Linked DNA regions of Xenopus tropicalis. The protein of the gene in region 2 interacts with the protein of the main gene of each other region in a pairwise test. Links are inferred from orthologs where the notes say so. Each region holds a gene or a part of one and is shown on either strand. Other genes may lie near its edges.

Region 1 (3,653 bases), on a different chromosome or scaffold from region 2:
CAGTATTAAAGGTGGGATAAAATTAGTACCAGGAAAAATGCTGATTTCATGTCAGTGGCTTAGAAAAAGCTGGATAGATGAGAAAGGAGTAAATGGAGGGTGAGTAGGATAGGTCCTTCATTCCTTACTCCGTTTAGTATTTTCAGTTGGCCAGCTGTAGGTAGCTGCATGATTAGGCTGCGGGTGAGCAGCAGTTAAAAGAGCTGTGTGGTTACACAGAGGTTGAGGGTTGGGGGACTCAGAGTTGTTGACTCACAGAGAGGGGTTCACTCTCAGAGCAGGGCACAGGGCAGGAAGGCTGTTTTAGGAACTCCCAGAGGAGCTGGGGGTGCTGCCTGCCACTGCAAGGAGCAGAGGGAGCTGTAACCATGTGAAAGGTCTCAGAGCAGGGCACAGAGCAGGAAGGCTGCCTGCCTGTGTGGGGAACTCCCAGAGGGGCTGGGGGTGCTGCCTGCCGCTGCAAGGAGTGGTGGGAGCCTTAACCAAGTGAGAACCCAGAGAAGTGTTGAATATAAGTGAAGGGTCACCTAGAGAAAGGTCTCTCAGAGGTCAGCGCAAGGCAGGAAGGTTGCCTGACTGTGTGAGGTACTCCCAAAGGAGCTGGGGGTGCTGCCTGCCACTGCAAGGAGCAGAGGGAACCGTGAACATGTGTATGAGTGCAGGAACGACAAGGCTTAGTGAAAAGCCAAAGTGTGCCAGATGCTGGTGAGCTGGTATCCCAGGAGGGGAGAGACAGCAGGGCTGATTGAGTAGCCCGAGTGTTCATGAATGCGAGAGGGATGGTGATATTTATGTTGGGAGGAGGGTGCCCGAAATAAACCTGTGTTTTTTTGTGAAAAGAAGTGATGTCCCTGCCACTATGCTCCTGATCCTCTTCTTACCTGCCTACCATAGCTAATTTCCCCCCAAAATTACATAATTACATGTACAGGCAGACAGCATGTCACAATATATATATAATAAAGTCATATTTTATATTATATATATATTTTTGGGCCAGACTATCGTCAGAGTGCATCCTATAAAACATCATTCTAGATATCTACGTGGTAATACATAGTAATACAGAATATCTGAAACTACACATTTTTAGCAGCATGGGGCTTTTCATTATCGGTGAAGAAAGTCACAGCAGAGGCCTCTTTTATACTGGGGTTAAGAAAGCAATCACAAAACCATCTTAAAATACTTCAGTCATTTTTAAGTCACATGGTACAGACTTACTGGGAATCAGGACAAGCACAATATTTGGTTTTCTTTGTGCTTATAACACGCTGTCTACAGGAATTCTAGTTGAGCAAATTATTTTGACTGAAAAATATATGCACCCCTAAAAGCCATACCCACAAACCACAACTGAGCTATTAGTATGGATTAACAAATTATATTTTGTAACTATAAAACCTCAAGAGCAATTTGTTTAGCACATCCTAGTAACACATTTATTTTTATTTATCTGTGCTGGAAATCATAGAGCTCTGTTTAAACTTATAGGACATTACCCATGAATTACACAGGAGACCTCAGAAGCAGGACCAAACCAGCAGTTTGGAGAATCTGCCAGCTGATTATGAGCTTTTAGAAAGAGCTTTCTGAGCTTTTGAGAAAGAGCCAGCATGTCACAATAGAACTGCTTTTAGATAATCTATTATTTCTTCTACTCAATGTACTGTAAATATGACCCAAGTTGCATAAGGGCGAAGACACACAGAGCAGCTTAGTAGCAGCTACTTGTCACATCTACTAAACTCCAGAAAATACCCTGCCATAGACAATACTGAGAATTACCTTTGCTAAAACACATAGAGACAGTTATCAGTAAATGATCAACATTGTCTCATGTAGCTGTGAAAAGTACCTGCTACTAGTAGCTCTGTGTGTCTTCACCCTAATACAGGGTTTCTATTCTTGAGTCTACCATTAGGTATGTACCACTGCTTCTGCCACTTACTGTATAATGTATTTAGGATCTGGAGTTATTGTTCATAGAAGCCAATGTACCATTACTTACGAGTGCATGCTGTGTGTATATATCTATATACCCATTACTGTACAAGCTAATTGTGGCTAATAGCACATAGGGCAGTTTTTCCACAGTGTATTTTAACTGTCAGAGAAAACCTGAAGCTGCCCTAAATTACTGGGAGACAGTTTAGACAGTTTTGCCTATTTACCCACCCACTAAAATTTAGGACAGTACAGGCAGTGCTATAAGCCCATGAGTGCTATAAGCCATGGAGGCACAATGGCTAATGCTAAACAGGGCTGATTCTTGGCCTGTGGAAAAATGTAGGCCAAGAATCAACCCTTACGCTGGCACCACCCTGCTACTTTGCTTGCACCTGGAAGCATTGTCTCCACCCAAGTGCAGGCAGACGTGGCTATGATGGAAGCCCTGTTACTAGATACTGAAGGAGTGTCAGCTTTCTGGTATACTACTTTTCTAGAGACAGATCTATAATTACAGAGGCAGAAAATTTTTCAAAAGTGGCATTTTCTGTGATGCAAATAATATACTGGAGAAAAGTAATAAGCATACATTGATTTCATTGAAACTTTCTTCCTCTTTGTTCTATCTGCCCCTTATTGTCTTCCTCAACTCCCTTTCATCTCCTTATGGCTTACAGTTCTAACTTCCTGAATGCTATTTGAACTCCCTCTCTCCTGTAAGGTATTTCATAATACCTCTATTATTTCCAGCATCTCCAGTCGTGTGATCTTGCCATCTCCATCCAGATCATACATCTCAAAGGCCCAGTTGAGTTTCTGCTCAAAGCTTCCCCGTGAGGTGACACTTAAAGCACAAATAAATTCCCGGAAATCAATTGTTCCATCTCCATTCTTGTCAAATGTGCGGAAGGCATGTTGAGCAAATTTAGAGGCATCGCCATATGGGAAGAACTGAAAAGAACAGTTTACGGAAGAGAGGGAATTACATTATCTGTTATGAAAAGAAAAACATATAAAAAAAATAACTAACACTTATCTAAATAGGAAATAGGGCTACTTTTTGCCTTATATCATTAAGAAATAATCTTTCCTGCATCACAGCCAATTTGTTGCAATTGCACTGTAATGGTAGGATGCAATGACCCACTGCCAAGGAGCTTATTTGGGATACTCATTTTCTGATACTGAATGCTGGTTGTTTGAATAAATAAGTGGTAGCCCCACAGAGTAATGGTCATACAGACTGATAGCACATATCTATGTTTGCACTATGTTGGCCACCTTTACCACTGCCACTACACGTGTAGCTTTACAATACAGGATCCCTATTAATTGCTAAATCATCAGGGTATGAGATGGCCCTGGGAAACAGCTGCTAGCCAGAAACAATTCACTATCACCATGGCACTATATGCTTACTGTATTATTCTTAGAACTAAGCAAGTGTACTGGTAATGCATTGTCATGACTTCACCATTATGCTATAAATAAACAAGTGGACTGAAGGATGGGCACACAAGAAGGGGGTAGCATTCTCTAGTGACAGTTGGCAGTAGCATATCTGATTTAACAAGGAATGATTTGCTTGGGTGAAACATAAATTAAAACAACACTTTACTTGTATTGGCATACAATTATTCTAGATGGCCTCAATTATTCTAGATGCATGGATAACACAGAATTTTAAGGGAGCATTTACAAAA
Region 2 (4,087 bases):
GTCACTGTGTCTGTCCCTTTCCCTTCCCTGCACTGCTGGTTCTGACTCCTGATACAACTCCCCAATACCCATTCATTCCTCATTCTCACTGGGTTTATAGTTATGTGTAACTGTCACTGTGTCTGTCCCTTTCCCTTCCCTGCACTGCTGGTTCCGACTCCTGATACAACTCCCCAATATCCATTCATTCCTCATTCTCACTGGGTTTATAGTTATGTGTAACTGTCACTGTGTCTGTCCCTTTCCCTTCCCTGCACTGCTGGTTCTGACTCCTGATACAACTCCCCAATACCCATTCATTCCTCATTCTCACTGGGTTTATAGTTATGTGTAACTGTCACTGTGTCTGTCCCTTTCCCTTCTCTGCACTGCTGGTTCTGACTCCTGATACAACTCCCCAATATCCATTCATTCCTCATTCTCACTGGGTTTATAGTTATGTGTAACTGTCACTGTGTCTGTCCCTTTCCCTTCCCTGCACTGCTGGTTCTGACTCCTGATACAACTCCCCAATATCCATTCATTCCTCATTCTCACTGGGTTTATAGTTATGTGTAACTGTCACTGTGTCTGTCCCTTTCCCTTCCCTGCACTGCTGGTTCTGACTCCTGATACAACTCCCCAATATCCATTCATCCCTCATTCTCACTGGGTTTATAGTTATGTGTAACTGTCACTGTGTCTGTCCCTTTCCCTTCCCTGCACTGCTGGTTCTGACTCCTGATACAACTCCCCAATATCCATTCATCCCTCATTCTCACTGGGTTTATAGTTATGTGTAACTGTCACTGTGTCTGTCCCTTTCCCTGCACTGCTGGTTCTGACTCCTGATACAACTCTTGGCCTTGCCCCCTTCACCCCACCCTTGCTGAGGAACAAAAGCCCAGAGTGGCAGAATCACAATTCCAGACTAAAGGGCACAATGACCCAAACTGAATAAAGGGAAAAGCCTCAGGTTGCCGGCCCCTGGCATACAGCTTGTGCCTGCCCCCCCGGCACAATCATACATGGAGGTGCCAAGCCTGTTGCTGGCAGAGTCCGAATCCAAAGCAACCCCCCAGCACTGACAGGGTTAATCCCCACCCACCCCATGGCAACAGCTGCTTCACCTACACGAATAAAAGGGAAAGCAAAGGGGCTCGTCAGCGAGACGTTGGCAGCTCCTGCGAGACACCTCCCAGAGACAGCAGGCAGAATGGGAAGGGGTGGTGACATCCAGCACAGACAGTCTGAGAGTCTCTGAGCAACAGCCGCATCCAACGTGACCACTCTCGTCCCCCCCTTCCCATTATTCCCAGTACAATCCAAACCCACAGACACGTATGCAGAGCCCCTCTCTCACCCCCACTCACTGCCCCTGCCATGTCTGTCTGCCACTCTGCCAACCACTGCCAGGGAACTCACACCTTGGGCTGCACGCTGCAGGGCTGGACTGCTGAGACCCCCAGTGGCACAGTGGGAATGGTGGGCAACAGAGAGTGTCGGGAAGGTCTGTAAAGGGGAAGCGAAACCAAACAGAGGCGCCAGGGGGGATCATTCTCTGGGAGGATTTGGATGGCACAGGGCTGCCTGCCCTTCGTTATGGGATCTTGCATCTCCAAAGGTAAGTCCTTATGTTCTCTAACTGGGGGTGAAACACGGTGCTGATGGGTCCAACTACCCTCGGTATAAAGCTAAAAATGGGGCAGATTTATAGGTGGCACCGTGGGCACGACTGGGCACTGACTGGCGCTGTCATTGTGGCCTGTGGGGGTAACAAGGGGGCACAAATATGGAATATAAGGACATGGCAAGGGTTACACCCAAGTTAAGAGGGTGCACAGGTGCCCAGTACCCACAGCCCCCCCAAACGTGATGGGTAAACTGCACGGCATGCTGGGAAAGAAGCTCAAGAACACTTTTGGGTCACACTGCCGGCACCGTCTGAGCCCCCCCGTGCCCCTGTCGGGGCAATATTGGGCACATACTGGGTGCCTAGATCCAGTTCCGCCCAGGGAAAGGGCAACACAATTATTGGGGTTCCAGCTCCACCGGTAAAGTTTTGCCCGACCCAGTTACACATGAGATGTTCCGACTGCTGCAACAAGTAGCACCGACTCCAAGGCAAAGGGGTTGGCACAGATTCCTTCCACTTAGGGAGGCGCTGCCGGTAGCCTGGGGGCTGTTGCTAAATATGTACCCTGGCACAGTGAGGATGGAGGTGCCCAGTGTGGCACAGACCTTGTTGCCATGGCAAGGGAACGGCGGCAGCGGCACAGCCAGACAAACACATCTTGTCCTTGTTTCCCATAGAAGTGAATGGCAGCTCCGTGACCTTCTCGTCTCTGTCACTTTAAATGAGCCCGGTTGGGCTGCCATGCCAAGCAGCGGGCTCAGTTCTTACCCCTAGGGAGGGCAGAGGGGGCATTTGGCAGAAGTACAAAGGTCATATTATATGGGACAGCAAGGGTTAAATATCCTCAGTGTATCAGATACCCCCATAACCCTATTTGGGGGGCATTTGGGGGTACTGGTGCCAGGCTGTTGGTGCCACCCTATAACATGGCACTGGTTCTACCCAGGTGTAAACATTGCAATGTGGGTGCCAGCACCCTGGCAGGGACGCAAAGGGATCATTTATAGGAATGATTGTGTCTTTTAGCCAATAGCACTGCTACCTGCTGGCAGCGACACGCCCACTGATGCCCTTTGCCCACCTGTGTCCTGGCGCAAGGGGCAAGTGTGACATGTGACCAAAGAGAAACCCTGAACAGGTAGATTCTAAAGTGGGTGGCATTAAAAGGGTTAAAGGAGATAATCGCTGTATAATGAGTTTTTTTTTATTTACTTTAATGGAATTAACGATAATTTGCAGTTGGTCGGTATTTCTGTTTCTTTCTCCTCAGCTCTCCAGCCTAGAAATTACCGTTTTATCTGGTTTCTAGGGTCACACTGACCCTAGCAACCAGGCGTTGGTTTAGATACCAACATTGCTGAGACAGAAGACCCAAAACCTATTCAACTGAATGAGAATAAAAAGCAAATAAATCACTAATGGTAAATAACAATATGGGCGGCACGGGGGTCAGTGGGGGCACGGGGGTCAGTGGGGGCACGGGGGTCAGTGGGGGCACTGGGATCCTGGGTTGATTCCGCCCAGGGCACTGTCTGCGAGGAGTTTGTATGTTCTTCCCGTGTCTGTGTGTATGTTCCGCCCACACGTCAAGAACAAACAGGCAGGTTCATTGGCTCCCCATAAAAATTTTCTCTCTGTGCATGAATGTGATAGGGCCCTTAGATTGTAAGCTCACTGGGGCAGGGACTGATGGGAATGGGATAGGGCCCTTAGAGTGTAAGCTCACTGGGGCAGGGACTGATGGGAATGGGATAGGGGCCTTAGATTGTAAGCTCACTGGGGCAGGGGCTGATGGGAATGGGATAGGGACCTTAGATTGTAAGCTCACTGGGGCAGGGACTGATGGGAATGGGATAGGGCCCTTAGAGTGTAAGCTCACTGGGGCAGGGACTGATGGGAATGTGATAGGGCCCTTAGAGTGTAAGCTCACTGGGGCAGGGACTGATGGGAATGGGATAGGGCCCTTAGAGTGTAAGCTCACTGGGGCAGGGACTGATGGGAATGTGATAGGGACCTTAGATTGTAAGCACACTGGGGCAGGGACTGATGGGAATGGGATAGGGCCCTTAGAGTGTAAGCTCACTGGGGCAGGGACTGATGGGAATGTGATAGGGCCCTTAGAGTGTAAGCTCACTGGGGCAGGGACTGATGGGAATGGGATAGGGCCCTTAGAGTGTAAGCTCACTGGGGCAGGGACTGATGGGAATGTGATAGGGACCTTAGATTGTAAGCTCACTGGGGCAGGGGCTGATGGGAATGGGATAGGGGCCTTAGATTGTAAGCTCACTGGGGCAGGGGCTGATGGGAATGGGATAGGGACCTTAGATTGTAAGCTCACTGGGGCAGGGACTAATGGGAATGGGATAGGGACCTTAGATTGTAAGCTCACTGGGGCAGGGACTGATGGGAATGGGATAGGGACCTTAGATTGTAAGCTCACTGGGGCAGGGGCTGATGGGAATGTGATAGGGA
Region 3 (3,653 bases), on a different chromosome or scaffold from region 2:
ATTCATAAAGTGTACAACTAGAATGGCAAAAATCCAACACCCCAGCATTGTGCTTCATTTCCTTAAAGAAGAAGGAAAGGCATTTTGGCATTTTATTGCCAATAGATTCACCACATTAATGCTACCTAGAATGATATATTTATTCTGCAGAAAACATTACCTGAAAAAACAGACATAGAAGCCCCCTCTGTTTAAGATAGCAGCTGCCATTTTAGCTTGGTCTGATTTCACTTCTGTTCCTGCACACTGAGCCTCTAAACTCAGATTACATAGCAGAGAAGGGAGGGGGAGAGAGGAGCAAACTAAGCAGGCTTGTGCCATGCCCCGTAGGATTTTTTTGAGAGTAGGAAGTCTGATACAGAAGATGAGGTGAGCAAGCAGACTTTTATAGGCATCTCTGATAAAATAGGTGTTAAGAAGCCAGCTCCAATTTAAAAGAGTAAGTGGAGCTTTTTCAAGAGTCAAGCACTGGAGACTCCGAGCCATATCTGAAAAATAGTGTTATAATAATACCAATGCAACCAATCAACACAATGTAGCAGCCTTCAGATAACACAAGTGCTACCAATGTGGTACAACTGATGTCACAGGGGAGCCTATAAAGAACAGCAGTTCTGATAAGACTAAGGCTACCACATGATTTGATAATACAACGGTTGCCAATTGACAACAACAGTTCTTATAAGACAACTGGTACCGGTACTATTCTAAAACAACTGTTCCAATAACACATGTAGAACACATTTCCTGGGAACACAAACGCTTCCAATATACCATAGCACTCATGTTCTGTCAATAGAAAGACAACTGCTCTCAGACATGGCGGCTATTGAAGTAATGCAACTGTTTAGGCGGCACAAAGGCAGCCGACAAATTCACACTATTCTAGAGACAAAAATTAAGAATAACCTTCTTCTGCCTGACCTTACTTGACTTTATAAAAGGCTAGTCATGAAGAACTTAAATAAGGAGCAACAAAAAAGAAGAGGGTCAGTGGCCTAAATCACTTCAGATTATATGGATTGAGCTGCAGAAGAGTGGATTCAATTTACCGCTCACGGACAAGTTTATTAATTTTCCTGCCTTCATCATTTGTCTCTGTGCACTACTTGGCAATGTGTTTCACAGCACAGGGTGGGAAGGTCAGGACTCAGGAGCTAGATCTGCTCCCCAACCTTGCTTGATGCACAGAGAACCCCTTGGAGTGCTTGGATTGGCTGTTAATATATAGACATATTGGGGTTTAATGAAAACAACAAGGATGTTCACATGATTTACACATGCGATTGGTGTATAAACATCCACCATTCCCTGTAAACCAAAATAGAGGCTATGGCACACAGGGCATGGTGTAGCTCAGAAGGCGGTGCCAAACCAGCCAATGCGCCTTTACCATAAAGGAAAATAAACATAAATATTGAGTAACATAAAATATAATATATTGTACAGTGAAAATAATGCAGTTAGCAATGGTAACAGCCCACTTAGTAGTGAAAAAAGTAACCTGCAGTAAAACGTCCCATGAACAAGCAGAAGATGGCCTTACCTTTACATAGAGCTGCTGGAATTCATCCAGGTTCAGCCGGCCACTTGGACAGTCCTTCAAGAACCCTTTGTACCACTGTTTCAGCTCGTGCTCATTAAACTCTGTGCTCTTCACAAGATCCTCCATTACTTCAGGAGCAAGTTTGCTGTTCTGTTTCCCCATTTTGTTTCTAGAAAAAGAGAGAGGTGTTCTTAAATTTCTTGTAATATACACATTGTTGACATATTTGGGAAAACTGTGTATGTTTCTTGCAACCTGGCACCACTCAACCTAGGTGGAAAATATAGGGAGCCAATTCATAGGGACACCAGAGCCAAACATGAAGGTCAACCTATGTGGAAAATATAGGGAGTGAATTCATATGGACACCAGAGCCAAGAATGGAGGTCAACCTATGTGGAAAATATAGGGAGCCAATTCATAGGGACACCAGAGCCAAGCATGAAGGTCAACCTATGTGGAAAATATAGGGAGTGAATTCATATTGACACCAGAGCCAAGAATGGAGGTCAACCTATGTGGAAAATATAGGGAGCCAAATCATAGGGACACCAGAGCCAAGCATGGAGGTCAACCTATGTGGAAAATATAGGGAGCCAAATCATTGGGACACAAGAGCCAAGCATGAAGGTCAACCTATGTGGAAAATATAGGGAGTGAATTCATAGGGACACCAGAGCCAAGAATGGAGGTCAACCTATGTGGAAAATATAGGGAGCCAATTCATAGGGACACCAGAGCCAAACATGGAGGTCAACCTATGTGGAAAATATAGGGAGCCAATTCATAGGGACACCAGAGCCAAACATGGAGGTCAACCTATGTGGAAAATATAGGGAGTCAATTCATAGGGACACCAGAGCCAAACGTGGAGGTCAACCTATGTGGAAAATATAGGGAGCCAATTCATAAGGACACCAGAGTGAAGGTAGGTAGGAAACCTGCCTCTCTTGCATAGGGCAAGAGTTAAATGGATGCTCAGGAAAGGGAAGCTTGGATTTCTATGCATGAAGTAGCTTCAAGGTTACCAGTTGTGTAGGCAACTACATTACCTAAGTAACATGTGCCTTAATCATTTTACTCCATTTATACTTGTAAACACCACATTCAAATATTACCCACCCAACACACATTTTTCACAAAACATAAATATTGGCACTAAACTGAGACAGAGGCACCTACAGTACAACTCACTGTTCTACAATCTACAGACCATCTGAGATCATTATGTCAACATTTTGGTTGCTAAGAACCTTGCATTAAACACAATTTCTTTCAAGGTTGGCACTCAGCCCTCTATGACTCTGGCATTTAAACAACGACAAACAGCATTTATCAGATCACACCTTCCTAATGATTTACACTTGGCTGTTCTTTAATTAAGCTAATCTGTTATTTTATTAGCAGGAGATATTACTTTCCCTTTCAAGCCAAGTTGATTCATCAGCAGATGTTTGATTCAGACTCAAGGTGGCTGCCGGTGGGTTTGATAATCATAATATCAAACAGTTTATTGCACTTGCTGATTAATTGTAGTTTGTGCCATTGGGCCACAAACTTGCATTAATGTGACTTTCCAGCAATTAACCCATACATACACTGATGGAAGCCATCAACCACAAACTCATATTGAATGGGTTGGCCAAAAAATTGGTCAGATATAGACACATGAGCAATTAAATACCCCAACTTTGTCATTTGGTTTATCAAACTAACATGCTCTATGTGTTGACCCAAAATAATGCTCCCCATCCAAAATGAAAGCGCCAAACAACTGAAGTGATAACATATGTAGCCACTTTGGCCTGATGTACCTTGGTGAACACGTTATGGGTCATTTACTACATTTACTATGACCCTGGATGCAAATGCTACATCAGAATTGTGCCCCTTAGTGCTCATTCAGAGCCTTTGTGTCAGGCATCTGGCTATTCTCTCCAGAGAGCAGATACTTTCCCTTATGAACACAGCACTTATTAATGTAGGCAGCATAAATAGGGCACATATGTGTGTATGAAGAACACACAGGTCCCTGTGCAACCTAGAAGAGTGCAGGACATGGGGACAAATGTGCAAAAAACATTGGGGCTCGTACCTTTTATATGCA

What was found.
Region 1: the proteins of fam131c (region 2) and hpcal4 interact in binary tests that used the Homo sapiens proteins (3 or more experiments, as listed by UniProt). The two-hybrid records come from large-scale screens. The link is inferred for Xenopus tropicalis from reciprocal best matches to the Homo sapiens genes FAM131C and HPCAL4.
Region 3: the proteins of fam131c (region 2) and vsnl1 interact in binary tests that used the Homo sapiens proteins (3 or more experiments, as listed by UniProt). The two-hybrid records come from large-scale screens. The link is inferred for Xenopus tropicalis from reciprocal best matches to the Homo sapiens genes FAM131C and VSNL1.

The regions. Positions count from the first base shown.
Region 1 is NC_030678.2:90,987,956-90,991,608, reverse strand, and holds part of hpcal4 (hippocalcin-like protein 4), read right to left. Parts: intron 2,902-3,653; coding exon 2,686-2,901; intron 1-2,685. UniProt on the Homo sapiens protein: May be involved in the calcium-dependent regulation of rhodopsin phosphorylation.
Region 2 is NC_030683.2:131,465,621-131,469,707, forward strand, and holds the start of fam131c (protein FAM131C), read left to right. Parts: upstream 1-1,140; 5' UTR 1,141-1,554; coding exon 1,555-1,603; intron 1,604-4,087.
Region 3 is NC_030681.2:141,644,514-141,648,166, reverse strand, and holds part of vsnl1 (visinin-like protein 1), read right to left. Parts: intron 1,716-3,653; coding exon of another isoform or gene 1,709-1,715; coding exon 1,547-1,708; intron 1-1,546.